4 linked regions of the Diceros bicornis minor genome follow. The protein of the gene in region 1 interacts with the protein of each later gene in a pairwise test. Links are inferred from orthologs where the notes say so. Each region holds a gene or a part of one and is shown in the gene's direction. Other genes may lie near its edges.

Region 1 (7,611 bases):
TCCACCGGAGACTAGTTAATTTTAGTTAAATAAGAGTCTAAAACCACTAGCTGTGAATATGTAACCAGATTAACACTTTACTTTGTTACTCATACACTCAATATTTTTTGAAATGTTGCTGGGAACCCTAATTTGCATCGAGTATGACCCTACTTGAATACATTTTTAATATCTCTTTTAACTTACAAAAGTGCGATTTATCCAAGAGTTTGGACATGCTTAACTACGGGCCAGGGAGATGTGTTTATGGCATTGTTATCCTCCCTACTTGGAAGAGTGCAACAGAAAAGGAACAACAAGGTGATATCCTTTAGCTAAAGTCACAGAGAAGGAATGAAGTGAGCCCTTCATCTTAGCATAAAGTTGTCCACTCAGTAGTACAGGTTTGCACTGGATGATTTAGTCTTGATCCTCTCCTGACAGACTATGTAACTTTGGCCCCAAAAACATACCTAAGATAGATCTGGAAATAACACATTCTGGTCCTTGCTCTGATGTAGATGTCCCTCTTAAATCTGGCCTATTGTCTTACTCTTTCAGTGACTTGATTTCCCCAACTGAAAACAGGGAAAGGTTAACCAAGCAAGAGGTAGGTATAGATCATCTTCCTTTTAATCTTGACTATGGTTTTAACATAACACCATGATTTTCCTGTTTCATCCCTGCCTTACTGGAATATTTGTCCAGGTCTCCACAATTTTACTGAATCAGAAAACAGACAAATATTCAGATAACTGGAGAGATGTTACTTGCTTAAATAATTCTTGGGAATTAAGCAGGTACCTCAGTCTGTATTACCCAATTTCTTAGGGAAGGAGAGGGCAAGTTAGAAGTGGGGGAGGGAGCATTTGGCTCAAATGATCAAATTACCTAAGTCCCTGAGTTTCACTTTGCATCTAGTAGATACATGATTCTAATTCTATGGAAAGTAGGACCCTGGAATTATCAAAAGCAGTTATTAAACACATAGGCAGATCAAGCATTGTCTGTCGACGGAATAAAGAATATTTTGCCCATCCGTGTACTAGTATTCTCAAAATGTTTGTAGATTCTGCTTAATGATAAAATATAAATCTGAATTTTTTTTTTTTGTCACTACGCAGCACTCAAACACTTGAGGAATACAAGTACTATTACGTAGAGGCCAGCCAACATTTTTGGCTTTAAAGGTAATTCTCAGATTTGAACAAGCTGGGAATGACTGGTGAAGCCCTCATTCTAGGGAGTTCCTTTTGCCATAAGAAGCAAGATAGAGGCTAAAGGTCACTGGGATTCTAAGAGGGCCCAAAACAAGGGAGTCAGTAGAACCAAAAGCCAAGGTACAAATTTAGCCCACCAAAATCTACTCACTCTTCTTTTTCTTAGTTTTATTTCAGGCATGCTAAAACAAGAAGGATGCCATACCTTCTGAACTGATCTATCATTAAGTCAGAAGGCAGGTATTTATAAACTTAGAATTTTACAAAGAGTCATAAACTCGCTGAGCTGAGCTCAATTGTTTTTAACCCCTGGGAAAGGTTCACCATGAGCTAACATCTGTTGTCAATCTTCCTCTTTTTCTTTTTTTTCCTCCCCAAAGCCCCAGTACATAGTTGTATATTCTAGTTGTAAGTCCTTCTAGTTCTTCTGTGTGAGCCACTGCCACAGCATGGCTACTGACAGATGAGTGGTGTGGTTCCGCACCTGGGAACCCAACACAGGCTGCCAAAGCTGAGCCCACCCAGCTTTAACCACCAAGCCATTAGGGCTGGCTCTCACTGAGTCGAGCTCAAATTTCTAAAAAGAATTTGAGTTAAGCACCCAGCCTGTCTGAAACATGTGAATATAAGGTTTTAATAACATTATGAAAAACTCTATAGCCTGAACTTCTCTTTGTGTATGTATACTCAGAGGAGGAAGTAAAATCTTCCTTATTTCCATCTGCGAAGGGAACTATCAATATTTTGCTTTAGATTATTTTCATCATAGTAATACTTATTTCAATAAGTATCAAACTGAAAATCAACAACTACAATTTTTTCAAAGCCACCACCACTATCTAAAAACTCTCCTGGGGCTGGCCCGGTGGTTTAGCGATTAAGCTCGTGCACTCCACTACTGGTGGCCCAGGGTTCGGATCCCGGGCGCGCACCGACACACCACTTCTCCTGCCATGCTGAGGCCGCATCCCACATACAGCCACTAGGAGGATGTGCAACTATGACATACAACTATCTACTGGGGCTTTGGGGGAAAAAAAGGAGGAGGATTGGCAATAGATGTTAGCTCAGAGCTGGTCTTCCTCAGCAAAAAAAAAGAGGAGGATTAGCACAGATGTTAGCTCAGGGCTGATCTTCCTCACAAAAAATAAATAAATAAATAAATAAATAAATAAATAAATAAATAAAACTCTCCTTACCTGATTTTACTATGGCAACAAAACACAAAAGATCGAGAACATTATATCTTTACAAGCAGGGGCAAAGGACTTCTGAAACTGGTTCTTCTTTATCACAAAATGTTTTATACAGAAGAGTTTGAAACTAGCAAAATGGTGTCGTGGTTAGGCTGGGCAGGTTCACTAAACACCAGTGAATTATTAAATGAAAAACAGGAAACCCTCCTTTTAGAATCAACTTGGGTTGTTATTCATTAACCTACTACTAAACCAAATAATACCAATGTTGCTGAAGAAGCTGTTTATGATTGCTTCTAAGGTATGACTAAGACTCTCAAAGAATGATCAAGACCTCTCCAAAGCAGGGCTTCTAGCACTGAAAGCTAACATGTCTTTTTCAACGCAATTTTTGTTCAAGATTTTTCCAGGGAAAAAAAAAGCTTCCCCAAATAGTGTCCTTAAAAAGAACCCACTAACAACAATAGGCTTAAAGCCTGTTTTGTTTTGTTTTTTGACATTTTAAACTATCAATAACTTTAATTCTCCAGATCTTTCTCTCTCTCTCTTTTTTTTTTTTTTTTTGAGAATGTTAACGTTTCAATACACTTTCCCATCTGATTTGGAATCAAAATGAGCTATTTAACATCCTTATAACTATGGCATCAGAAAAGAGTACATATTTTTATATATATAATTAAATGAGCTATTTGCCATGGAGAAAAAAGCCAGCACTTTCAATCTTGCGGATCAGCAACTATGGAAGATGAAGTCTCTTAAAGGTCAGATGCATGATTCTAACCCTTCATCTTCCACAAATCGACATCAACAAATCCTAAATCCCATCATTTCTCCTTCCAAACAGCTCTATCTGTAGTGACTTATTTTTAAATTAAGACAGTTGGTTTTAAGTTGTTTTTTCTTTTGGCTCTGGACTAATATCTCTACCTGAATATTGACAACTAGGGCAGTAGAGGCTTTATAGGGGACCTAGCTTTCTTCTTTTTTAACCTAGCAATAAAATGTAGATCAGTAACATTTTGTCTTTTAGTATACCTGGATTCGGAAGAAAGGGATTCTTGAGTTTACCATTCCTCTTTCATTATGATTATTACTTTCTAACACCTTTATTCCTTCTACATTTCTTGGCTGGCATTCTACTATAAAAGAGAGCACTGCTGTCTTCTATTAGCTGTACCTTTACCTTTACATCAAGGTTGAGAACACTGACGTTGTGGTTTGTCACTATTTAAGAGTTTCCCGGCTTTGTCTGCATGATGATGGTAAAAGCTGCAACCCACGAACAGTGGTTACCGTCATGTCTGTGGGGAGAAGCGTTCACTGCTCTGCCGGCCATCAAGGGCTAGCGCTGCGTTCATTCTCTTCTCTACAGGTGCAACGTCACGACCTACATGCTTAACTTGTAGTCTACGAGTCTTTTAGATATCGCACGCAAAAATGCTCGCAATTTTTCTTCTAAGGAGATAGGTTCAACTGCATCCCTTCCCGCCCCCAGATTCTCAAGTACGTCTGGGGCCAGCCGTTTTACAGCGAACGAGTACAATTTCCCAGAGAATTGGAGGTGAGGGCTCAGATGTCAAGGAGCAAACTGCTAACAGCCCTGAACTCCCACCGACTGTTCATCTCCCCGCATCAACGACATCAAATCTGGGAGTCAGAAGACCCGAAGGGGCAGGCGGGGCAGCGGACATCGGGCTCCCGGCACCCTTCGCGCCTCCTGGCTGCACGAAGGACACCTCACGACAACGTCCCACTGCTCCGAGGCCGGACTCCAGCCCCTCAGGCCCACGCAACCTGTCTACTGGCTGGGCGGCCCCACACCCACACCCACTACAGGCGTTGCAGAAGCCGCCACCTCCACAACCCAGCGACACCAACGCACTCCCAGAAGCGTCCCAACGCAGGAGAGGGCGGGGGCTTCGGCCGCACCCCTTCGCCTTTTCCCCGCCTTCTTTGTTTCTTCCAGATCCGCCATTGGCTGCTTGTCCCCGAGGCCGGGCGAACCCGCGGGCCTGCATTGACACGCGATTGGGCGACGTCGCTGCCCCTCGACCAGCAGCCCGCTCTCGATTGGTCGAGGCGCCGCCGGGGGTTTGAATCGCAGCCCCGGCCGGGGAGGGTCCTGCCGAAGTGCCACGTTGGGCCCGGCTGCGGCGTGAGGAGCCGGCTCGGGGCGCTAGCCGCGGCGCTCGCGCCATTGGGGCGGGTGGGTGGCGCGAGGCGAGTCGGGAAGCCGGTCCGCGGCGTGCGGCTCTGGTCGGGCGGCGCGGGGGAGCTCGGGCGGCGGCGCGTCCCACCCGAGGGCGCTCTGGCTGAGGAGGGAGGGACAGGCGGAGCGCCCGGGACAGCGGCTGAGGCGGGACGGCGGCGGCGGGGGCCGCTGCCCCCGGAAGAGCCGGCCGAGATGCTGGCGGAAAACCTGGTGGAGGAGTTTGAGATGAAGGAGGACGAGCCGTGGTACGACCACCAGGACCTCCAGCAAGGTGAGGGCGCAGTCGCCCCGCAGACGACGGGCGGGCGGGCGGCCTGGCTGGGGAGGCTCCTCCTGGGCGCGAAACTGGTAAAAAGTTGCGTTTGCTCGAGGCCGAGAGGTGCCAGGTGCCGGGAGAGTCTGGCGCTCACCTGGCGTTGGGACCGGCCGCGCCCGCCCATCCCGCGGGAGAGAAGCCTCTGCGCGGGGCCGGGGCCCGGGCTTGTGCTCGGTGATCCCCATCATCGCTGCTGCGCGCGGATCGCTGGCTGCGCCAGGCACTGTCTGGAGCGCCTTCCCCGGCTTCGCTGATCTAACCCTTACTGCCTTCCTCGGAGGCAGAGCTGCGGGACCCTGACCAGGCTCGGCCCGCGGCCTCTCTGCCGCTGGGAGTCGTCCCACCCCGCGCCGGGTGGGAGCGGCTGCAGGTGGCGGGGGAAGCTGTCCCGTGTGGCACGTGCCCAACCCTTTGCACACACGCAGTCCGCACAACAGCTCTGTTGGTGAGAGAGTAACTTTTAGTATCCCCATTTTCCAGATGAGGAAAGCGGAGGCTAAAACGGCTAAGTGACTTCCCTCGAGTTAAGTGTGGGAGCGAGTATTTTTGAACCCACACACTCAGAATGAGGAGTGCCCAAATCCTGTGTCTTTTTTACCATCCGGTTTACAGCTTCTTCAGTTGGATGTTAGACTCTTAAAAAAAAAAATTGCTTAGGCTTAGTTTAGATGCCAAATAAAATGACTTGAGGACACTTCTACCTCTACCACCTCCTTCAGTTTGCACTCCAGCTTTTTTATTTAAACACAAGCATTTGGATCTTGGCCTGCCTTGGATTTCTTGATGATGCTGTGTCTCCAGAGAAAAACGTTAGAGCAGCCCTCTTTTTTTTTTTTTTTTTTTTCATATTAATAGCAGGAACTTGCAGTTGGGGAACGCTTTTTATGTGCCAAACACTGACAGGCCTTTACAACAGGTGCTCACTTAATGCTCCCAACAACTAGGGAGGTGGAAGTAGATACTGTTATCGGGGAACTAGGATTCCACTTCAGACTCCAGCGCCAACTTTCTGAACCACTATACTGAACACTGAATAATCCTCAGGAATTTCTCCAGGCATCTTCTGTTTCTGCAATTCTGTGTAAATCAATTTTTTCAGCTCCAAACTTGCTCTGAAACTTAACATTTCATTTAGTTGAGTAGTAAATGACCATGATGTTTGTTCAGGCTAACCATTGAACTTAGGGGGAAGGGGTGCGGAAAAAGAATGTAGGCTTGAATGACTCATGTTCAGAAAAGGAAGATAAACACCTCTTTTGGGAGAAGATGATTTCTAAATCCATATGCTATGGACAGTCACTGAAACCAAAGTTGTTCACCCTTACGCTTATATAGTCGAAGTTATTTCGCGGCCGCAGTGCAGTATTTGCCATCATGTTCTCTGCGAGACAGATTTGTCTTACATTTAATAAACCTGTTTTCAGAATTCCCCATAAGGATTGATGGCCTAGTTTGATACTTTCTCCAGGGTTAATGGAGCAGCCACTGTGCAGTTGCAGCATTTGCCTGTAATAAATTAAGCAGTTTGTATAATCAAAGCTAAATGTTTTTCTTTCCTGCATTTGAGAGGCGTGGGTCCATACAGGCTCATTGTTTTGAATCTAGCAAAATACTTAACACATCGTAGAAGCTCAGTTTTAATATCTGTTGAACTGAGGCACTCACACAGGCTTACTGTTTTCGTGGCTCTCTTCCATCGGATACCTTCGTCCACGCTGCACTTTCCCCCGTGGGAGGTTGTTAGAAACAACCATTTGTAATATTTCAGTCTACTTAGAAGCAAATGCAACGTGGTGGGGTTACGTGCGGAACTCTTTAACCTCTGATGAAAATGAAGTCATCAGGTGTTCAAGCTTATTGAAGCCATAAAGAGCACACGTCCAAACCTCCTTAATGTTAATTTGCTTTTGGAATTTGTTCCCTGCTTTTCAAAAGACTTTTACGTCCATTATCACAATGGACTTTGACATAACCTGTATGTCATAACCAAGTGTATGGGGTAAGAAGAGATGTGAAATTCCAACAATCATAACTTGTGAATATAGCCTGTAGAAGAATGAAGGCTGCAGTGTGAATAAAAGGATATCTTTGTCCGAATTTTGTTAAACTATATGTTAAAGAACTCCTAAACTTCTAATGGATTTAAAATTTTGTTAATTTCTCAAAAATTTATTATCTACTCTATGCCAGGTATTCTTGTAGGCACTGGGGCCACAGTGCCTATCCACGAGATAGGATAGGTAGGGTCCTACTCATGGAGTTGACGGTCTAGGAAGCTGTTGGCTAGAGAAGCCTGGAGATGCTGCCTCCTGGTATGTGCCCACTACAGTGCCTGGCACATGGTAGGCCCTCAGTAGGTATTTCCTGCTGAATAAAGTTTAGGAGCAGGTCTGCCCTGTTAAACAGATTGATAAGCAAATCTAGCTGGATTTTATCAAGTGCAGGCATCTGTTCATTTTTTAACATCCTCACTGTTAATTTACTGAGCGAGCCCTATTTGGAGAGAGGTGCTAGAACAACTTTTTAAGATCTTGTTCTCAAAGTCATAGCACTACAAAATTTTTTCCTTTTGCAATAGAAGCGTTATTTAAGTAGATTGAGTCTTTGTATCAAAGCTTGCTGGGGCATTCGTTTTAAATTAAAATTGCTGAAAAATTCTAACCTCGGGCCAGCCCAGTGCATACTGGT
Region 2 (7,647 bases), on another chromosome or scaffold:
AGGAGGGAGGGTGGGCTGTGGAGGGGGGAATTCGTCTCCCAGGTTCACGTGGTGCAATGGATTTGAAACTGTGTCCCACTGAGCTTTAAACCTTCCTGGGAGCCCCCTCACAAGCCGTTTAGGGTGAAGGGTCCAGGGGAGGAGAGAAGATCTCAAACTGGATGTGTTACAAAGATTTTGTTCAAAAAAAATTATACCAAAGCTTAAAAAAAAAAACCTTTAAAATTTCAGATTTGATGCACCTCCCCCTCATTTTACAGCTGAGAAAACAGCCATACTGGGGGTGGGGAATGGACGTGGCTTACCTAAGGGGATCACACAGCAATTTCTTGATAGACTAGAGCGGCACTTTACCTTTAAGAGGCAGTGGAGAAGTGGATGAACAAAACAACTAGGTCGCCAGCTTCCTGGGCCTTCCTTTCCTGAGATGAGCTAATTCTGAGGAATGATTTTCCTTCTAATCTGCCTTAAGGGCTCTCTGGTCCATCAAAGTTCCTCCAGGGCCGTGCCTGGTCTTGGGAGCCCAAGGAACAATGTTCACAGTTATAATGTTATTTACCAATGTTAAGTCATATTATTTTTATTTAACCTAAAAAAGTTAAGATGATTTGATTTGCCTAAGTTCCCAAAGCAATGTGGGGAAGTTGATAGATGACATGAGCTCAGGGAAAGAGAAGAAAGCAGGACGTAATGTAGCTTGTACTCCAGAACTGATGCCTGTGCTTTGGAACCTTTGGCGGCTCCCTCAGTTATTTCCCAGCTGCCCACAGGATGATGCCCAAGCTCCTTGGAATGGGGGTCAAGGCCTTTCATAAACTGGGCCAACTTTATCCTCCAGCCTCATCTCCTACCTCCACTGACCTCCCAGCTCCAGCCACACTGGCCTCCTCTGTGTTGTCTGAACACACTCTGAACACACACACCGCATATGGTCTACTCTGCCTTCTCTTGCTTTCTCTTGGTGAGCTTCTATTCATCCTTCAAAGCCTGGCTCAAATATCACCTCTGTGAGGCCTTTCCTTACCCTCATTTGTGCTCAATACTTTTGCCTTCTAGCCCTGTTGCAGGGCCCATCACATTGTATAGCCCATGCTTGTCTATTTCCCTTTCTAAACAGGGAGCTCCCCAGGGTCACCACCAGTTCTGATTCTGCTCTGTATCCCCAGCACAGTACCTGGCACAGAGTAAGCACTCTGTTACTGTGTGCTGAATTTGAATGAACGGATGGGCAGGCGCAAGGTCCTTGAGATGGAAACGCCTTGATCTACCATCCCTTTCTTCCTGGGAGTACTGACATTGAGAAATTACCCACCTATAAAGGAACTCTTATACCTGTCCTATTTCCTGGAGTAGAAATTCCTCTCATCTTCCCTTGTCTCCTTGCTTGACACCCCAGGCCTCTAGGGCCTGGATCTGGCTACACACTGCTAGCCTCTCTTGGACATCTGTCTGCTTGCCAAGACATCTCCTCACTGCCCGCTGCTGGATCTTCATGACGGGCTGGCCTGCTGCAGAGCCCCTGTTTGGGCTGATACTAGCCATCTCTGGTGATTTCTGTGTCCCTGCCAATTAAGTTCCTGCAATCTATGTAGCTGAGTGGACACAGCCACAGACACCCCTTCACCTGGGGTGACTGATTCCCTGGCATCCTGACTGAGGAAGCTTCTGGTGAATGAACAACAGACATCTATACATCTGCTTTTCCATGGTCATGCAGACGTGGATGCCTCTGCCTTCCTAGGGTTTTTGTTCTCTATGCTCCTAGTTCTCTGAAAATTATGGAGTGGCCGGGACCACTGTCTGAGCACTTACTGCATTAATTATACAGTGCTAGAGAATCCCACACATTACCCTTGACTAAGAAAAGAGACTAGGGGCTAGCCCGGTGGCTAGCGGTTAAGTTCGTGCACTCTGCTTCGGCAGCCCAGGGTTCGCAGGTTTAGGATCCCAGACGAGGACCGATGCACTGCTTGTCAAGCCATGCTGTGGCGGTCTCCCATATAAAGTAGAGGAAGATGGGCACGGATGTTAGTCCAGGGCCAATCATCCTCAGCAAAAAGAGGAGGATTGGCGTCGGATGTTAGCTCAGGGCTAATCTTCCTCACAAAAAAAAAAAAGAAGAAGAAGAAGAGAGAGAGGCCACAGTCCAATGCCCTTGGAATTCACTTTACTTATCAGGTATTATGTTATTTAGAAACAACTAACTTTATAGAACAATGGAATGACCAGTTGATGACTCAGCTATGCCAGGTTGTGTGCTGCCCTGCAGGATACGATATAGGCTTTAAATCAACAATCAACATATGACTGTTTTTTGTAGCCAGAATATATATGGAGAGGTAGAGGTGGGTGTAGCCCATCATGGGATTGTGGGCTAATGACTTTCTCAAAGACTTCGCTTCCTGTCTCTGACATTCTAGGTTCTGCAGGTCAGGAGGTTTTAGCATCTAGGGAGGAATGTTTCTAACCAGGGAACACAAAGATGATTCCATTGCATTTCAGGCTCCTCATACTACTGCAGGAATAGAAGAAAGGAGGTCACAGTGTAGGCTGAACTGATAATCGCTATATCAAGGGGAAATAGAGTGGCTACTACTCAATGAGGACTGAGAGGTGCATGAGTGGGACCCAGGGGACCCCTGCGTCACCACCGTGTGCTCTTGTATTAATCAGGATTCTTTTGAATGCTGGTGAAAGAAATTCCACTTGTTAGGCTTGGCAGAATAAGGGCCTTATTGGAAGCTGTACAAAGGCCTCAGGAAATAGACTGGAACATCACCAGGACTTCTGTCTTTTGTCTCTGCGTCTTGTGTCAGCATCATTTTCTTCTACTACAAACTGATTTCCACTTGGCAGGGAACGTGATTGCTACAGCCCTAGGCTCACATCTTCCCTGATTTGTCTTCCTTCAATTTTGTTTCAGAAAGTCCCAGAGAAGGACTCTGACTCACCTGGAGTGGAGTCCCTATCCCTGGACTCATCAGGCTCTCCTTTAGAGCTGGGAGAGACAGATCCAGAAGGAGAGGCAGGAGGAGCTGTTCTGGGCCCACCAAACAACTAGATGCCATTATGGCTGTAAGACATGGGAAGACCTGCATAACTCTAGACCACCAAATCCCAGAGCCTTCAGGAGTGAGGATTTGGGTCACCTCATAAGAGAGAAAACTATGGCTAAAGGCAAGAGGGGACTTGTAGTGGATAAGGGAAGACTAGTTAAGCCTCAGGACCTGGTGAAGAAATGGGGTTGAAGTCTCTGCCTGTGTATTCTTAGCTGGGGGAGTGGCCAGAGTTTGAGTTACTTCTTTTCTTTTCTTTTCTTTTTGGTGAGGAAGATTGGCCCTGAGCTAACATCTGTGCCCATCTTCCTCTACTTTATATGTGGGATGCCTGCCACAGCATGGCTTGATAAGAGGTGCATATGTCTGCACGGGTGATCTGAACCTGCGAATGCCAGGCCGCTGAAGCGGAGCTATCGAACTTAACCACTACGCCACCCGGCCTGGCCCAATTTCGTTTTGTTTTTAATGGGAGGAGGCCACGAGGAAGGTGTAGCCAATCGCTTGGTTTGCTCAATAAAGTGGGGGGTATGGAAGGGACTTCTTGGAATCTTATGTGTCCTGAAGGCTAAATTTGTCCCAGTCTTCTTCCTGGGGCTGCCTCTAGGCAAGAAGTTAATCTAAGAAGCTTTAACTTCCCTAACCCCAGGCAGTACTTTTTGCTTTTATCATTAACGTTAGCAATTACTCTGTTCTTTTTGATTGCAAACTGAGTTCCCAACCCCTACACATTTCCCCCAAGAAGGAAGGGAGTGAGGGGGATCAGGCTTCAGTAAGTAGAAACTGCACAGCTCACAGAAGAGCTCACTGCACTGGCAGCATGGAGGGGTTCTCTGCCCAGCCAGGAGGAAGCCACCCGGGCCTGGGTGCAGGACATTAGCTCCAGCTCTGTCCCAGGGGGAATTTTCTTTCTTCTCTTAAAACATAGCTTTCATTAAGTGACTTTAATGAAATAAGCACAAAATGAATATATAATTTCAAATTGTGATAGATACTATGAAGAAAAGGTACGAAGTGCCCTGGGATAATATAAAAGGGGGATCTAATCTGGCCTAGGAGGTCAGGGAAGGTTTATCTGAGAAGCGATCTGAGACAGGAGTAAGTCGAGAAGGGGAAGAGAATTTTAGGCAGAAGGAACAGTGTGTGCAAAAGCCTCATGGCAGAAAGGAGCCTGAGGCCCAGTTGCAGAGATGGAGGGCAAAAGGATGAAGCTGGAGACGTAGACAGGGCTGGATGCTCAGAGCCCTGTGGCTGCTGCCTTGAGGATTTACCCTGCAGTGGGGAAGCCATTGAAGGGCTTTAAGCAGGAGCGTGGTAACATGATCAGATTTTCATTCTGAAAATGCCACTGTATCTGCGGTGAGGCAAACCGACGCGAGGGGCGCAGGGAATGCAATTAGGAGATAAAACCGGACCTGGAAGGCCTCGGTCAAGGCTGCGGAAGGTGGAGTAGGCGGTTCCGGCGCTGCGGCCCAGGCGCGCGGCTCCGCGGAAAACCGAACCGGCCCACGTGGGCCCCGCCGCCCCGCCCCGCCGCGCCGACGCCGCCCGACTCCGCAGTCCCGGCCTGGGGCTGGGCGCGCCGCCCCGGAACCCCGCACCCCGCGCCCGGGCCCGCGCGTGCGCCCAGGCCGAGGGACCCCCAGACGCGAGGGACGAGTGCCCGCCGCGGGGCCCGCGGAACCAGAGCCAGCGGCGCAGGGCGGGCGCCTCCAGGCCGTGAGTCGGGGCCGGAGCGGGAGGGCTTGGGGTCCAGCCGCTGGTGGGGGGCGGGGGGCGCGGGGAGTCGCAGCCTCTGCCCAGCTGCCTCCCTGGGGAAGATTAGGGAAGGATGGTCTCTATCCTCTGTCTCCTTGGGGGGGGGGGGTAGTCTCCCTCTCCCGCGAGGCGAGGCGGGAAGGGAGGCTGCCTCCGCCATCCTTACAGAGCCACCTTTCCCCCTACCCCGGCAAACTGCGGATTAGCTTGGAGAGAAGCCTGAGCCTGGGGTGTCTGGGTTCCCACTTTACATCTCTGAGAACCCCGTGATCCTTAGTACCACCGCCACCGCATCCCAGCTTCCTTCGTGGCCCCGCCCAAGTTTAGGAAAAAGAAAACATTTGGGCAGGGAATATCTCCAGGCACCTTGCTTAGCGGGATGGGAGTGCGTAGGTTACACAGGGACTGTCCCCACACCATTCCCCCAGGACTTCTGCCCACTACTGATGTGGGGAGGCCCCTGCCACCTCCACTTACACTATCCCTTACTCTCACAGATCCCCAGTTTTTCTAATCCTAGTAAGATGTGGTCAGTAGAAACCTCTTGTCGATTCAAGCCCTGATTTTGGTAGAAGCTGGTTATTGGGGAGGAAAGAATAGGGGGTATGCCTTCCCTCCAGGGCGTCAGGATGAAGCTAGCTGAGGTCAGGGACACAGATAGCAGACGTGGAGGGAAGGGGGCAAGGTCAAAAGAGAAGCTTGTCATGGCGGGGGGAGGGAACTGAACCCAGCTCTTCCAGCCCTGGGCAGCCAGCAATAGCCTCCTGCTGCTGTTGGCTCTCTTTTCCTGAGCATGGATATCCCACTGCAGTCCCTGTCCCCCATTCAGTCACTCAGCAAATATGTACTGACGCCTGCTTAGTGCCAGGCTCTGTGCTGGCTCCGGGAAACATGATGGAGGATATTTAGAGGAGTTCCATGTCTAGTCAGTGAGCTAGATTTATAAGCAGTTATTATAAGACAGTTAAAAAAGAACAACAGTTGAATGGACATTTACCGATGGTCAACTATGTGCCAAGGACGAGAAACAAACGTGGATAAGACAGTGCATACCCGGGGCAGTGGGGACCCTGAGGAAGGCACAGTTCACTGTTTGTGTGTATTGGGACAGTGGGGAGAATATCAGGATGGCTTCAGGGAGGTGGGGGTGTTAGAGCTGAGTTTTGAGGTACAAAAAGGAATTTGCTGGGTGGAGAAAGGAGGAGCTTAGAGGGGAGGGGAAAGGAAGGGTATTGAGGCCAAGGGAATTGTGTGCAGAGAATAACCGTGTGTTTTGAGATCTCTGAGCAGTTTTGTGTGGTGGGAGGGGCAGAGTGGCAAGAGGTAAGTCTGGAGGGGTGAGTGGGGGCTAGAGGAGGCACAGCCTTGGAGGTTGTGGAGAGGTTTATCCGGAGTTTAGGGAGGGCACTTGGAGCCATGAGAAAACAAATTTACATTTTTAACCGGAGGCAGAGAGATCAGTGAAAAGGCTGTGGCAGTCAGTACTCCAGGTAAGAAATGGCCTGAACCAAGTGAAAGTGAGTAGACGTGTGTACATACACACACAGAGGTATTTAAGAGGAAGAATCGTCAGAATTTGGTGGCCAATGAGATGGGGGAAGGAAGCAGAGTGAGGAGTCCAGGATGCTCCCAGGTCTCTGACTGGAGTGACTGAATGGAGAGTGGGGCCATTTTGCTGAGGACACTGAAGAGGGAGAGCTGGTTTGGACATGTCGAATTTGAGGAACCTATGGTTGGTTTCAGAATTGGATAGCAGTTGGGTCTGGGCCGCAGACAGATCTGAGAGCCACCAGCACGTGATGGTTCTTGAAGCTGCAGCAGAGGATGGGATCAGCTGGGGAGAAGTGCATAGGATGAGAAGAAAGCCTGCTTCAGAGGGCTGAGGGAAAACCTGATGCAGGAGACTGAGAATCAGCAGTCAGAGAGGGAGGATGAAAACCACGAAGGGAGGTGTTACCAGAGTTGAGGGAGAGGAACTGAGAAGGAGCAGCCAGGCTCTTGCTTGCTGCCTGGTCCCTGCAGCTAAGTTGCCATGACTTCAGGTCCCCTACCCTGTCCTGCTCTGACTCATTCTTCTGCTTCCCCTGTACAGACAAAATGTTTGCCATCCAGCCAGGGCCAGCTGAGGGGGGCCAGTTCCTGGGGGGCCCACCTCCTGGAGTATGTCAGCCAGAGCTCCAACCAGACAGCAACTCCAACTTCATGGCGAGTGCCAAGGATGCCAATGAGAATTGGCATGGGATGGCAGGCCAAGGGGAGTCCATCCTGATGAAGAGCTCCTCTGAGTTGCCCTCTGACAATCAGGCCTTCCAGGCCTCTGGACTTTCTGAGGGGGAGGTCCGCAGCCCACCAGAGGGGGCAGAGATCCCCAGAGCTGAGCCTGAGAAGATGGGTGATACCAGCACAGTCTGCTCCCCTTTGGAGGACAACGGCTATGCCAGCAGCTCCCTGAGCATCGACAGCCCTAGCAGCAGCCCTGAGCCTGCTTGTGGGACCCCTCGAGGCCCTGGCCCTTCAGATCCCCTTCTGCCTTCGGTGGCCCAGGCCGTGCAGCAGCTGCAGGCTCAAGAGCGCTATAAAGAGCTGGAGAAGGAGAAGCACCATGTGCACTTGGTGATGTACCGTCGCCTGGCCCTGCTCCAGTGGATCCGGGGCCTGCAGCATCAGTTGGTTGACCAGCAGACCCGTCTGCAGGAGAGCTTTGACACCATCCTAGACAACCGAAAGGAGCTTATCCGCTGTCTCCACCAGAGGGCAGCACCATCCAGGCCCCAGGACCAGCGCTAAGGGTGTACCTCCAGAGGGGTGCAAGGATATATGTATATATTTGCAG
Region 3 (7,221 bases), on another chromosome or scaffold:
TGGTTAAGTACACAGGCTTTGGAGTCTGTCTACTTTGTTACTTTGTGTTTGAATTCATTAACTAGCAAGGAAACCTTCAGCAAGTTATTTAACTCTTCCCACCCCATCAGCTCTAAAGTTCATGGTTAATCTTTGCCTTGGTAATACTACGGTGTAGGATCTAGTATATATCTTAACATAAGGCACGTCACTAATACATATTTGTTAACTGGATAGGTACCTTCCCAGTTACAATTTCAACTGTCATCTAGGAATGTGCACAAATCTTTGGTTTAATTTCCTAAAACTAATTCCTGGGTTATAGAGCAATAATAATAATGATGGTCTTTCCTAGTTTTTAACTTGTCTCTTATAATGAAGCATCTCTTGCAAATGAACAAGCTTCTAAATTTGGACTATAACAAATAAATAGTAAAGGTCAACAAAGACTTTAGCATGGATTTGGAATATATAATAAAATTTACATTTTCATGGACATACTGAACAGTTAAGAATTTTCAATTTTAAAACCACGTCTTATCCTTCATACCTTGTGAGATATGTAGGGCAGCTACAACCCCATTTACAGTAGATAATGATCTCAGCCAAGCTCAGTTTCAATCCTTCCAACATCAGTCAAGTTCTGAGACTACAGTTGGATTTGAAATGATCTATGAAGTAACAGAACCTGAGCCATGGTGAAAACAAGTTGTTTTTTCTCTCTCTCTCTCTTCCTTTCTTTTCTGGTTAAATGGAGAGATGACAGCCTAGCATAGGCTAATTATTTTTATTCTTTAGCACTCAATTGCATAATTATTATATTTTTATGTTTTACTCCTTCCAATAAAATGATTTTTAAAAAAAATAAAAACCTGACATCAGACAATCAATAATTAAAGATTATGATGAATGCAAGAAGGGAAGAGATTTGGAGTGGCAGAACTCTAAAGCCATTTAAACACTAAAAATCTGTTTGATAATTATTCAAAAAAAGTGGCAAAACTGCTGGTGGGAAAGCAAACTGGTGCAGCCACTATGGAAAACAGTATGGAGATTTCCCCAAAAATTAGAAACAGAAATACCATACAATCCAGCTATCCCACTACTGGGTATTTATCCAAAGAACATGAAATCAACAATACAAAGAGATCTATGCACGCCTATATTCATTGCAGCATTATTCACAATAGCCAAGATGTGGAAACAACCCAAGTGCCCACCAACTGATGAATGGATAAAGAAGATGTGGTATATATATATAATGGAATACTGCTCAGCCATAAAAAAAGACAAAATCTTCCCATTTGCAACAACAGGGATGGACCTTGAGGGTATGATGTTAAGCGAAATAAGCCAGACAGAGAAAGACAAATACTGTATGATTTCACCCATATGTGGAAGATAAACAAACACATGGATAAGGAGAACAGATTAGTGGTTACCAGAGGGGAAGGAGGTGGGGAGGTGGGAGAAAGGGGTGAAGGGGCACATATGTATGGGGGCGGATAAAAACTAGACTATTGGTGGTTAGCACGATGTAGTCTATACAGAAACCGATATATAATAATGTACACCCGAAATTACACAGTATTATAAACCATTATGACCTCAATAAAATAATTTAGAAAAAAGCAGCAAGGAAACAAATTTTCCCTACTTGCAAATGCATATTAACAACTATAGTATTGGGAATAATTTTTTAAACCTTAGATAACTCTTCACCTTCCTAAACCTTGAAAAAAATGTATGTAAGATACATAAATAAAGATATTATAGAACTCAGTTCCAGAATTGAAATATAGTATTATCATCTTCAAAAGAATATTAAATATTTATTTATATTATTATTAAATGATATTAAAAATATTTGTTTTATGATGCATTGCAGTTTGATGTATACAAGTTATCATTTGCTTCTGAAAACTGATGATTTGGTATCAGACAAAACTGTAATTCTACTGCTTATACAGCTAGTGATTTTCTTGAGAATATTTGGAACTGGGCAGTCTGATTTTCTCCAGCGGGTGAAAAAAAAACAAGTCACGACCTTTACCCCTTTTCTGAAAACAAATCTGATATTTCACTCTAGAGATTTGAACACTTAGGCACCTTGGCTAAATTTTGGTAGAGAATTGAGGTCAGAAAGTCCATTGAACTCACAACATCACCACATTAAAGTCACATTGATGGTGCATTTGTGTCCATCTCTTTCTTGCCAGTAGTGCTAACTCTAGGGTATGAAAATAGCAACGACAAGCATCCAAGGAAAATGGAAATGGCGATTTTGTGGAATTTGGTTAGCACTTGGAACTAAATTAGAATGATTTGAACTAAATTAGACAGTAGGGCAGATAGCATCTGACTACTTTGATATTCCAAAAACATAAAGCATATCTATACCTTAGGTGTAGCAATACACCCATGAGTAACAGGAACTTTACACAAAATTCTAATTATTTAATATATGGTGGCCAAATTTGACAAAATTCTACTATCATGAAATTTACATATTAAGAACATCCTTGAATTTGCAATATGTATGCTTTTATTCTATAACCAAAAATTAACTTAGGGCCGGCCCTGTGGCTTAGAGGTTAAGTGCGTGGGCTGCGCTACTGGCAGCCTGGGTTCAGATCCCGGGCGCGCACCGCAGCACCGCTTCTCCAGCCATGCTGAGGCTGCGTCCCACATACAGCAACTAGAAGGATGTGCAACTATGACATACAACTATCTACTTGGGCTTTGGGGAAAAAAAAAAAAGGAGGAGGATTGGCAATAGATGTTAGCTCAGAGCCAGTCTTCCTCAGCAAAAAGAGGAGGATTAGCATGGATGTTAGCTCAGGGCTGATCTTCCTCACATACACACACACAAATTAACTTAAACTAAACATAAAAAAGCCAATTGTGAGAGAAATAAAGATCCTGTAGTAAACTTTTTTGAATTTTTAAGCTTTTTTTTTAGAAAAACAAAACAAACCACTATCCAACTGCATCATTCAACCTTTTTTTTTTTTAAGTGAAAGGGGGAGTTAATGAGGTATTCTCACGAGTCATCACGAGGGTTCTAGGAGCACCCATAACACGATAAGCCCCTAGAGTTAATTTTAGACAATGTAGAAAAATCCCTGGCTGCAGATATAACCTGGTGACATGGGCAGTATGGGAATGTTAATCATGATGTGACAGATCAGACTTCAAATTCTTAAGAACATACTAGGATGGCTGCAAAGACGCAAGTCAGGTCAGGACCAAGGAGAAAAACTTCGCAAATATTATTTTACCCATTTTCGACAAGGCAACAGATAACACCTGAGCTTTGGGATAAGGGTTAGGACCAACATTTGGGAAGATTAAGTTCAAGAGTCCAGCGCGGGCCGTGTTGACCAGTTTCCTCCGCCCACGACCTTTAGCCTAGTTGTCAATTCTTCCAATTGGGACAGCCCCCGGGGGAAGAATCTGGGGTCCACCACCAGGCGCAGACAGCGTGACCTTTGTTCTAGTTTAGCCTGAGAACGTCGACGAAAGGAGAATAGGGAAGAGATGCCTACAGCCCTCAGATGTGGCCCCGTCCATTTCGCCCTAACTCCTCGACCTCCCTCCGCTTATCCCCGCTCGGAGTTCCCTCTCACCCGGGCAGGACAGCTTGGCTAGCGGCACCAACATGTTCAGTGTAACCAGGACTCTCCGTCGGACACAAAGGATGGACTGTCTGCAGCTCGCCGAGTGCGCTGGACCTCTAAGCCGCGAGGGGCGCCATCACCACCACTGAAGTTTGTCTCCCTGCTCAGCCGACCGCTCTGGCTTCACAGCGTTCCAGCCTCTTTCTCGCTCTGCGTCGGCGCCACGCATGACGCGACGGCCAGCAGGGGCTTGCGGGTCATGTGCCCAAAAGGAGGAAAAGGAAACGGACTGCAAGTCCCAGCGCTGCCCGCGGCTGCACGTTGCGGATTGAGTCTGTGCTGCTTTTCTCACTCAGGCGTGGTAAGCCCGCTGCAGTGCGGGAGGACCCACAAATCCCATAGTGCAACGCGCGCGCAGCAAATGGTAGTGGGAGGTGGACCGACGCGTACGGCATCCTGGGAGTTGTAGTCTTTTGCTCAAGTGCCCTCTGAGCCTGGCAGGAGCTGTGCGCAGGAGCAGTGAGCTGCACAAGGTGAATTGACTTACATATGATTGGCTGTCCGGAAAAAATGAAGTCTTCGCGGTCCTGAGCAGACGCCCACGAGGAGGCGGGGCTTCTGGGCTTTGGGCGCGAGCAGTTGAAAGATAGCTGGTATCGGTTCGGCTGCTAAGGTCCGGTTCCGCGGGCCCAGCCCTTCTCCATGGCAGACCCCGAGGAGGTGCAGGTTTCTTCGCCGTCCCCGCCGCCTCCCTTCTCTCCTTCGTCTTCAGACGCCTCTTCAGCATCTTCCCCCGGCGTCCCAGTGAGTTTGGGCTGGCCGGTTCCGAGCAGGAGCAGCAGCCGAACGGTGGACCCGCTGGAGGAGGTGGAGCTGCAGATCGGAGACGTGAGTGTCGCCCCACCGGTCCCGGAGCCGGGTCCCCACTCGGCGATTGTCGGAAGACACACCGCGGGGGGGCCAGGGAAGGAGGGACCGGGAGTCCATGCGCCCGGCCTGGCGCGTCTCGACCGTCTGCCCTGTAAGGGCGGTGGGCTGGGAGGTGGGGTGGGGGAAGCCGGCGACCAAAGGCCCCTCCCCCCGACGATTCTGTCTTTAGATTTAGTGTTGAGGAGTTAACGGGTTATGCCTTCGCCCGCCCCATCCCTGTTTGCTTTTGGCCTCGCCTTCTGGTTTCAATCTTGTGCTGTAACCCGAAACCACGCAGCTCTGCTGTGCTGCCTCGTGCTGGCTCTGCCTGCCCTCTCATCCTCCCCCCTGGCTGTCTGTTGGTGCTTAGATCAGCCTGTGATTTCTCTCCGCGGGACTGTTCTAGTTGGCCACCTGCCCAGAGCCAGCTGACAATGCTATTGTCTGTCTCAGGCTCGCTTTGCGTTGGACCCAGTTTGGAGGAGTTAGTCACGGCCTCTGTAGTCCAGATTGGTTTCACTAACGGTTTAGTCAAAGACCCCTCCCTATGATTGCTAGAATGCATAGCAATGGATGGTTTCTTCTGAATCTCCAATTCCCAGAAACTAGCGCGAGCGCGCGCGGACACACACACCACCGGAGAGGGTCACAATTTGATTATTTAAGGACTCTTGAGTGGGTCAAGTGAATGAGATATGTAGGGTGTAATCTTCCTGGGAGAACTTTGTGGAATACACTCTCCTGTGCGGATTGGAAACTGGGGAATGAACTCGATTATCTCATTGCTCAACAAGTATTTGTTTTTTTTTTTTTTATTTTTGTGAGGAAGATCAGCCCTGAGCTAACATCCGATGCCAATCTTCCTCTTTTTTTTTTTTTTTTGCCGAGGAAGACTGGCCCTGGGCTAACATTTGTGCCCATCTTCCTCCACTTATATGGGACGCGGCCTCAGCATGGCCGGAGAAGTGTTGCTCGGTGCGCACCTGGGATCCAAACCCTGGCCGCCAGCAGCGGAGCGCGCGCACTTCACGGCTATGCCACGGGGACGGCCCCAAGTATTTGTTTTTTTAAAAGATGACTAAAGTGCTGATAGAGCTTCAATTTTTGCCGACAAGACTGGTTTCAAGTGAATGTGTAGAATGGAGTGCTGATGTCTAGGAACAGGGTCTTAGGTGAAGAGAACATTTAAGTAAGAAGTGGATTTTCCATCACGAGTTGGATATTTTCTGCATGTGTTTTGATTTTGTTGATGGTTATTGGTCAGCTCAGAGTATCTGTTCTTTGGTTTATACATTTTCATGGCCTAAAGTGTTTACTGGTAAAAGTAGTGGAATAATGCCTTTGTTACCCAAATATCAGTAAGGATTGTTTATGAAGAAGTCCTTTAGTACTTCTGGGACTTAGTGTCAAGGGGTCCAAGTCGTCTTGTTGAGCTAAATGAGACTCCAGTGTATTTTCAATTAAAAAAAAAATACTGACTTGTCATGTCTCATACATAATGCATTGTTCTTTAAAGCTTACTTCATATTAAAGAATTTCTTAGGTTCCCAGAAGCTTACTTCATATTAAAGAATTTCTTAGGTTCCCAGACAGAGCCGCTGTTTTAGTTTGAAGATTTTTTTTACTTTCAAAGAAAACAACTTGGGCATTGGATTCAGTTTTAAACTATTTGTAGACTGTTTATAAAATGAGATGACAATTTAAAAAATAAACTTCTATTGTTTGACTTTTTTTTTTGAAATTTCAGGCAGCATTTTCATTAACCAAACTTCTTGAAGCCACATCTGCAGTATCAGCTCAAGTGGAAGAACTTGCCTTCAAATGTACAGAAAATGCACGTTTCCTCAAAACATGGAGGGACCTTTTGAAAGAAGGCTATGATTCTTTGAAGCCTGACAACTGATTTGGCTGTGTCATAATTCACGCTTCCTCATTTATGATATTTGCACATGTACCATATGTATAGGACAAGCTCCAGCAGTTCTGTATACTCAGAATGAAATTTTTCTTGGTTTTCTTCACTTTTGGGAAAGCAGAATACTGATGTTATTTTTGATGCTGGCCAGTATTTGTTTATCTTTAAATACTTTCTGTCCTCTAAACTTTTAATAGAATCCTTTATGAAAGTTAATTTCATCAGTAGATAATATTAATAAGGCCACAGTGTTAGCAGTAGCAAACTAGGTGGACCATTATTCTATTTGCTTTGCCAGAAGATGCCAAGAATGGCAGAGTTTGAAGTTGAGCTTCGTTTTATGGACCAAGGGAGGTAACTTCTAGGTTACCAATGTTAGATCCAGCTCCACTAGGCTAAGTTCCCTAGAACCAACGATTGTGTCTTCTTTCTTTTTCTATCCCCACCACCTAGAACAGTGTCACACAGCAATCACCAAGTATTTGTTGAATAAAAGAGTTAACAACATAATTAAAGGCTATTTTTTTCTTCCTGTCTTTACTATGAAGATTATAATTGTTTCTGTAAAAAATATTTGAATTAGAACCTCATTGACTTGAAGGGAAACGTTCTCTTTTTTTTTACGGGGATTTGAACTTCGATGATAGCTTTTTAAAATATAATAAATATTTTTTGCCCTTCTATGATGCTTTTTAGAAAAGCTTTTACTTCAGATAATGAAAGCCTGTCTGGAAAGAATGCATATGGTTAACTGCTTTTACAGATAGTATTTCTTGCATTCGATGTTGTTATATATTT
Region 4 (7,649 bases), on another chromosome or scaffold:
AAATAGAAGGATAATGATGTACACCTGAAATTTATACAATGTTATAAACCAATGTTACCGCAATAAAAAAAAAATAACAAACCGGTACTATTATCCCCATTTTACAGATGAGAAAACTGAAGTTCAGAGATATGAAATAATTTGGGGCTAATTGGAGGCTCCTTCCTTCACATCGGGCTGGCTTTGAAAAATAATATGAATACCAACAGAAGTTAGAGCCATTCCAACAGATAAATGTACTCCAGATGGAAGCAGGCTGAGCTACCTGAGGGTTCTGGATGGAAGGTTCTGGAACTGAATTCCATTTTCCAGCTTCCTCTACACAGAGTAGCAGGCCTGTTAGAATAAGGTCTGATGAGCTCACCTGATTTACAGATGAGGCATCAATGGAGGCGTAATGGGAGAGTCTGCCCACACACCAGAGGAGGGCAGGATTACCTGCACAGGTTTCTTTCACGGCGATGACCTCCACATTGGCAGGAAGGAGGTAAGCGCCATAGGCCAGGAGTGCTTGGGGGGATAATCGATGTGGTAGCATCCAGGGAAAACAAACAAACAAATAAAATTGAATGACAATAACTAAAAGTGAACCACGATGAAGGTTGTGCTCCCCTTCCCTCCATGGTAGGTGGAATAATGGCCTCGACCTCCTAATCCCAGAACCTGTGAATATGTTACCCTACATGGCAAAAGGGACTTTGCAGATGAGATTAAGGTTAAAAACCTTGAGATGGGGTGGTTATCCTGAATTATCCAGGTAGGTACATGAATCCTTAAAAGTGGAGAAGCCTTCCCAGCTGTGGTCCAGGGAGATGTGGCTAGTGAAGAATGGTGAGAGGGAGATGCTATGCTGCTGGTTTGAAGAAGGAGAAAGGGGCCACGAGCCAAGGAATGTGGTGGTCTCTACAAGCTGGAAAAGGCAAAGAAACCTGTTTCCTCTAGAGCCTCCAGAGAGGAATGCAGCCTTGCTGGCACCTTGAACTTAACCCCATGAGACCCATGTCAGACTTCGTCCTACAGAAGCATATAACGTATATAAAATGTTAATATCTGGAGAAAGTCGATGCGAAGTATAACCTTTGCAATTACCTTTGCAATTTTTCTATAAATCTAAAACTATTCTAAAATTAAAAGTTCAGTAAAAAAAATAGCCTCCTATGGTTGGCCCCGTGGCCTCGTGGTTAAGTTTGGTGTGCTGTGCTTTGGTGGCCCAGGTTTGGTGCCTGGGCGTGGACCTACACCACTTGTCAGTGGCCATGCTGTGGTGGTGACCCACATGCAAAATAGAGGAAGATTGGCACAGATGTTAGCTCAGGGAAAATCTTCCTCAGCAAAAAAAAGAAAAAAAAAAAAGACTCCCAGGCCCCATCCCTGGCCAATTAAATCAGAACCTCTGTCTCGGATCAAGTATCAGGATTTTAAAAAATCTCTCCAGGTGATTCAGACCTGCAGCCACAGTTGAGAGCCACTGGTGCACTGCAAGCACCTCAGGAAGTATAAAACATGATGGAAACGCAGGTTGTTATGATTAACCAACCAGCGCATTACTTTTTAATAAGTTACACAAGTAAGAGTGACCATCGTAAAATTAAAAACCCAGAGAGAAATAAAAATTAAAATCACCCCTCATCCTGCCCCCTAGTGATAGCCACTGTTTTTGGTGAAAGCCCTTTTACACTTTTTTCTCATGGATACCTACACATTATTATTCCTGTTGTTATTATTATTAAAACACAAAACTGAGGCTCTGAGAGGCAGCCCCATAGCCCCAGGGTCTTGGAGCTCCCCGTTTACTTCTGCATCCTTTGTCTTCAGGGAGGATGGGGAGCCCAGCGCAGGGCAGAAGAGAGAAGCCAGAATGGCTCATGTTGAAATGCATGATAACCCAGTGTAGATAAATGTGCATTGGCAATCCCACCTGCTAATTAAGTGACAGCCTTGCACGGCCTCCAGCGCTGTCACATTCCAGCTAATGGGGAGCTGCTCTCGGGCTATCACACCATCTCCTCATTCCTGTTTTCTACTCCCGTGGTAGGACAGCCAAAGACACAAGTCCAAGAACAGCCCTGAGTAACTGTGCGCTGGCCCAGGACCCAGTGTGTGCAGCGTCCACCTCGACAGTCCCCTGCCAGGGCTTCCTCTTTCAGCCCCCTGTGGGCCATCCTCATCAACCTGTCACTGAACATTTAATGTTGCTGAACTCTTGATCTGGCCCAGCTGGTCCGCATCCGCTGGCTTCTTTTAAGAGCTACACCTGCAAGCTGCAAGCTCCTGGAAAAGCAGACTGAAGAGAGATTCGCAAGCTCTGGAGGTTGGGTGTAAGTCCTGGCTCTCATAGTCCTTGCTGTGTGACCTCAGGAGAGTTGCTTCACCTCTGAGGCTCACTTTTCTCATCTGCAAAATGGGGGCAGGAACCTCACAGGTTGGAAGGAGGCTTAAGCAAGGGAATCCACCTAAAAGCATCTGGCACCTGGTAGGTATTCAAACAACGTTAGTTCCTTTTTGTCTTTCTTTCAACACCATCTTTCCCTTTTTCTTTGGGAGAAGGAAGAGAAGGGACTCCAAGCTGGGGAATCTACTCATTCATTCTCAACAAATATTGATTGAGTGCCTCCTATGGGCCAGGCGCTGGAACGACAGCAGGGAAGGTAATGAGTCCTGCCCTCGTGGTGCTGCTGAGAGGGCACAGGCCCTGGAGTCAGACAGAGCTGGGTTCAAATCCTGGCTCTACCACCTACACGCTGTGGTTCCTTGGGCAAGTGATGCCGCCTCTCTGGGGCTCAGTTTAGGCAACTCTAAAATGGGGACAACAGGGCTCCTGGGAGGAACAAAGGAAAAGATACTTGTAAAGATGCTCATTAGAAGTTGAATAGTGGGTGCTGGTGAGGATGACTGTCCAGCAGAAGAAGCCCAGAGGCCATGGCCTGGGGCTCAGGCTTCCAGGACCAGGCCAGTCTAGCCCTAGGCCCTTGAGTCCCACTAGTGGGGTTTGTTTGGTCCTTTAAGGCCATTATACAGATGAGGAAACCGAGGCCCAGAGAGAGGAAGAGCCTCACCCAAGAGGCACAAAATCAGAACCTAAAGTGACCCGATTCACGTATTTCTGAAGTTCTTACCACTCAAGGAGTCTTGCCAACAACAGTGAGCTCTTGCATTGGGGGGCAGCTCTGGCTGGGCTGGTCACAGTGGGTGGCTCTGCCTCTCTTGCCCGCTGGGAACACAATATGGAAAAGTGGCCGTGAGCTTGGCCAAAGGGGTAGGGACCAATGGGAGGGTAACCGTGGGGAAGCTCATGCCCGGGGCAGAGCAGACTCCGAGTAAACACATGTCAAGAAAAGGGAGATGAGAAAGAAAGCATGCTCGCTGGAGATGCCCCAGGTGCTCTGCTCCAGGGCACTCATCATTTAAATCTTCATTTCCTCTCAGGAGGCAGCCCTAGAAAGCAGCACTGTTGGTATTCTTGTTAAAAGGTAAACAGAGGCACATTAAAATTTTCAAGGGTTTATTTGAGCATACATGGATTCAAATTGGGGAGCGTCAAACCAAAGGTGTTTGGGAGCGCTCCACCAACAGGAACCAGGGGAGAGGTTTCTATAGAGAAGACTCAGAAGGAAATGGGTTGATTGGATGTAGTGGTGGCCTTATTTGGGGAAGCCTACTTGACTGTGATTGGTAAGTTCCATTTTCTTGGATTCGAGCACATTGACTCCGGCTTAGGTTTCGGTTTGGTAGCTGGGCTACAGAGCCGTTAGAGCCACCCTGGTCCAATGGCCCCCTTGTTCAATTACTGTAACATTCTCATTTCACAGACATGATGCTGAGGCACAGAGTGATCAGGTGACCCGCCCAAGACCACACAACTTGCGTGGTGGAGGTTGGAATAGAGACCACGATGTTCAACAGGATACTATACTGTATCCAGGAAAAACAGAAACTGATAAAGGAATGAAAGGAAGAAGACATGAAGAAAATAACAGGAGAATGAATGAAAGAGTGAATATTTTTCTTTATTATCTTTTTAATGAAATAGTTGATACATAAAACATTATTTGTAACACTCGTGAGTTATAAAACATTCTAACAGAATGAACACCCTTGAACCCACCACCAATCTAAGAGGACAATGGAAAGTCACCAATAACTCATATCTACTTACACCAGTGGTTCTCCCAGCTGGTTGCACACTGAACCCACCTGGGGAGCTTAGATAGCCACTGATACCCGCAGAGAGCCTGATGGGATTTGTCTGGAGTTTGGTCTGGGCATCTGGATTTTATTTTTTAAGGCATCTGTATTTTTAAGAGCTCCCCAGATGATTCTCATGTGCAGCCAGGCTTAAGAACCACTGATTGTTATTCCCCTCTCCTATCGTACCCCCCTGATTTCCCCCCACCCTCACCTTCATTCCTCCAGGTAACCACCATCCTGAATTTTGTGTAGTAAGTGGATTCTTTTCCATCATCCTTCTGTTTCCAGGACTAACGACGTTTGCGATTATCTCCCGCCCACCACGAGGGGGCGCCAGAGAAAAACCACAGCCTCCTGTCTCTGCGCGCCCGGCGTTGCGCGGGAGGCGGCTTGACCCTCGCGGCGCTCCGTCACCGGTCCGTTGCCCGGGCAACGAGAAACGGCCGGCGTTGGTGCTGCGCTGCCGCGGAGTGTCGCGGCGGGACCGGCCGGGCTTGGTTGAGGCGCGCGGGAGCTCGGGCCGGGGGACTCTTCGGAAACGTGAGTGGGAAGGTGGGGCGCGGCCGGGAGCCGGGACCCGCAGAGCCCGGCCGCAGGCGGCCCCGCGCTGGCTTCCGGGGTTCAGGGAGCCGCTCAGCTTGTGGGTGGCCGATCCGGCACCGGAATCTTAAGTTTCTTGGCTCCTGGTGCAAAGATTTATCCACGGGCGGCTCACAGGGCGAGGAAGAAAGTCTGTCAAGCCCGCCACAGTCTCGAGACAGAGCATCAACTGGCAGCCGCAGGCTAAACTTGGCCCACAGCCGCGGATGGTTTCCCCCAGCTCTGGAGGCCTCGGAGTCTGAGACCTGGCGTGGACCCGGGCCTATGGGCTTATTCAGCAGACGTTCCTTACGCACTGTCCCAGTCAAGCACTGTGTAAACCCTGCACATGCGGGCAGCTGTTGGGTCAGGGGAAAAGGTGTCCCGAGTGAGACTGCTCTGCATTCAAGAGTCCAGTTGTGTTCCCTGATTGCTCTGTGACCCTGGCAAATCCACTCCTCTCTCTGGGTAGCAGTTTCTCCATCTGTAGGATGAGGGATCTGCCCTCCATGTAACCCAGGAAACTTCCAGGTGTGACACCTAGGCTAGGCCCCTTCTGGCCAAAGCCGGGGCATCGTGCTCCCAACTGGCAGCCTCTTGCAGTCTACAGAGCCCGGGCCCAGGTCTCTGACCGACATGAATTAGGATCCCAGCTCTCTTATTTCCTCTGCTTCCCAGCTTTGTGGTCTTGGGCAAGTCACTTTACCTCTTTGAACTTAAGCTGCTTCACCTGCCGAATAATGGGGTGATTATAACAATGAAAAGGTCATGAATGTCAAAAGTTTGGCACATACACATGTTCCTTAAATTACTATCCGTGTTACTTTAAGCAGAGCATACAAGGCCCTGTTGTGCTTGGTCCAGCATTGCTAAGAGTGGTTCCCTGTCTCCATCTCCAGTGCCCTTGATGGTGTCTGCCCATAGCCGGGTGCCATCTAGGCTTATTTAAACCGATGATTCGCAACCGTGATGGCAGATCATTTAAAAAATGCTGATGTCTGGGGCCTACACCAAGACTTGTTTGATTTAATTGGTCTGGAATGGGGCCATCCTCCACCGGGCGATTCCAGCGTGCAGCCAGGCGGGGAGGACCACTTATGAAAGGGATGAGGCCAAGCTTGTGAGGGTTCCTGGGGTTGTAGCGACTCATTTTCCTACCATTGCTGTTCTCAGATGGCCCTCCCCACGCTGCCCTCATACTGGTGCAGCCGGAGGCTCCAGGATCAGCAGACAGCACGACAGCGACAGCGAGAGCAGGAGGCCCGGCTCCGGCAGCAGTGGGATCAGAACAGCCACTACTTCCGGATGTCCGACCTCTGCAGCTCCAAACAGGCAGAATGGAGCTCCAAGACCTCCTACCAGCAGAGGTAACTGTGTAGTGACTGTGATTGGATGATGCTGGGGGGCCATCTGCTGGGGAGGGGATGTGGCCTTAAGGACCAGGAGAGTGTGGCGTGACAGCATGTTTTCTCGAGGGGTTTGCGGAACAGCGTAGATTACCTGCATGAGGTTTTTCCAACTGTAAATTGAAAAAAAAGACCCTCAGTGAAGTAAAACTTTTGCACTGCAAAAGATAAAGCAATAATCTGGAGAATCTGGAAGTTTTCTTGTAACTCCACATCCCCAGAGAGAACCACAGTTAACAGCCTGATTCATGTCCTCTCATACTTTTTCCCATTTGTGTGTGTATATAAATATATACAAATATAAAACAAGATTCTACAATGCGTAGTGTTCTGTGACCTGCTCTCTTCACTTTGGCTGGAGGACACCTTCCCGTGTCAGCATGTTAAGTCTCCCTCAGCCTCTTTTACCCACACAGCAGAGCAGAGCGTTCCACGTGTGGCTGTGGCATGATTGATTTACGGTGGGCTCCTTCTCACCCAGCATGCATGCTTATCAGCGTGAGAAGATGAAGGAGGAGAAGAGGAAGCATCTGGAAGCCAGACGGGAGAGACTCAGGCAGCTTCTGCTGGAGGAGCAGGACTTGCTGGCCAAGGAACTGGAGGAGCTGAGGCTGAGCATGAACTCGCGGGAAAGAAGAATCCGGGAGCGGCACGGGAATCTGAAGTCGGCCCGAGAAGAGCAAAGGAAACTGGTAACTTCTCACAGCCCTTTAGGAAGCTATGGAGCCGGGGCATCCCGAGCCCATCAGCGTTGTGCATGTGGGGTCACCGCTGGGTGCTCTGGTCTGGTGAGATGGCGATAACTCCCGAGCCAGCTGGGAAAAGTGCTTACTCTAAGTTGTTCTTCACGTGTGTTTTGCATAAGTCATCCCTCTTTTCTTTGGCCCCTTAAATCATTACATCTGAGTCCTTTTTCTTTATTCAAGTTCTATGGTCCCACAAAGGCCTGGGACTGGTGTATTTTATCTTCCAAAGTAGTTGTGTGGAATGGTGAGCCCCAAGCTGTGTTTTAAGCCTGCTATATATTTGGAAGCAGGTCTGTAGCATCTAGGACCCATCTGAAACATCAGATTTTGGCCCCCTTTTGTCACCATTGTAAGAGTGATTTGTCATGCTGTCCAGGTCCACTCAAGTGTCTGGCTCCCGGAGCCAGGGGTGCCAGGCAGGCAGGAGGTCTGAAGGCAGGTGTAGTGACAGCGTGCCAGTGGAGCAGCTCTTAGCCTGAGCTGACTTCCATTGCCGGTTCTCCAAAATGTGAGTGGATTTGAAAAGCAACGTCAGCTTTCCCTCTCTGTGTTTTCTTGACAGCTTGCCGAACAGCTTTTGTACGAACACTGGAAAAAGAACAACCCCAGACTTCGAGAGGTGAAAACCAAGGAGATCCCTCCGTTGATTTGCCTAAGTAGATGAAATAATTTTAGCCAGCTTGTTTTAAACTTGGATCTTGTGCTGGGGTCAAACAGAGGAGGGAACACT

Evidence for each region.
Region 2: the proteins of CDR2 (region 1) and C13H1orf216 interact in binary tests that used the Homo sapiens proteins (3 or more experiments, as listed by UniProt). The two-hybrid records come from large-scale screens. The link is inferred for Diceros bicornis minor from reciprocal best matches to the Homo sapiens genes CDR2 and C1orf216.
Region 3: the proteins of CDR2 (region 1) and C11H4orf46 interact in binary tests that used the Homo sapiens proteins (3 or more experiments, as listed by UniProt). The two-hybrid records come from large-scale screens. The link is inferred for Diceros bicornis minor from reciprocal best matches to the Homo sapiens genes CDR2 and C4orf46.
Region 4: the proteins of CDR2 (region 1) and TCHP interact in binary tests that used the Homo sapiens proteins (3 or more experiments, as listed by UniProt). The two-hybrid records come from large-scale screens. The link is inferred for Diceros bicornis minor from reciprocal best matches to the Homo sapiens genes CDR2 and TCHP.

What each region holds. Positions count from the first base shown.
Region 1 is NC_080765.1:31,136,495-31,144,105, reverse strand, and holds the start of CDR2 (cerebellar degeneration-related protein 2), read left to right. Parts: upstream 1-4,602; 5' UTR 4,603-4,799; coding exon 4,800-4,878; intron 4,879-7,611.
Region 2 is NC_080752.1:50,002,441-50,010,087, reverse strand, and holds the start of C13H1orf216 (UPF0500 protein C1orf216 homolog), read left to right. Parts: upstream 1-4,628; 5' UTR 4,629-4,775; intron 4,776-6,906; 5' UTR 6,907-6,911; coding exon 6,912-7,601; 3' UTR 7,602-7,647.
Region 3 is NC_080750.1:46,351,917-46,359,137, reverse strand, and holds the start of C11H4orf46 (renal cancer differentiation gene 1 protein), read left to right. Parts: upstream 1-4,214; 5' UTR 4,215-4,301; coding exon 4,302-4,487; intron 4,488-6,255; coding exon 6,256-6,411; 3' UTR 6,412-7,221. Other genes in the region: ETFDH (electron transfer flavoprotein-ubiquinone oxidoreductase, mitochondrial), read right to left, coding at 3,609-3,642.
Region 4 is NC_080774.1:17,709,057-17,716,705, reverse strand, and holds the start of TCHP (trichoplein keratin filament-binding protein), read left to right. Parts: upstream 1-4,644; 5' UTR 4,645-4,728; intron 4,729-5,940; coding exon 5,941-6,134; intron 6,135-6,654; coding exon 6,655-6,865; intron 6,866-7,481; coding exon 7,482-7,538; intron 7,539-7,649. UniProt on the Homo sapiens protein: Tumor suppressor which has the ability to inhibit cell growth and be pro-apoptotic during cell stress. Inhibits cell growth in bladder and prostate cancer cells by a down-regulation of HSPB1 by inhibiting its phosphorylation.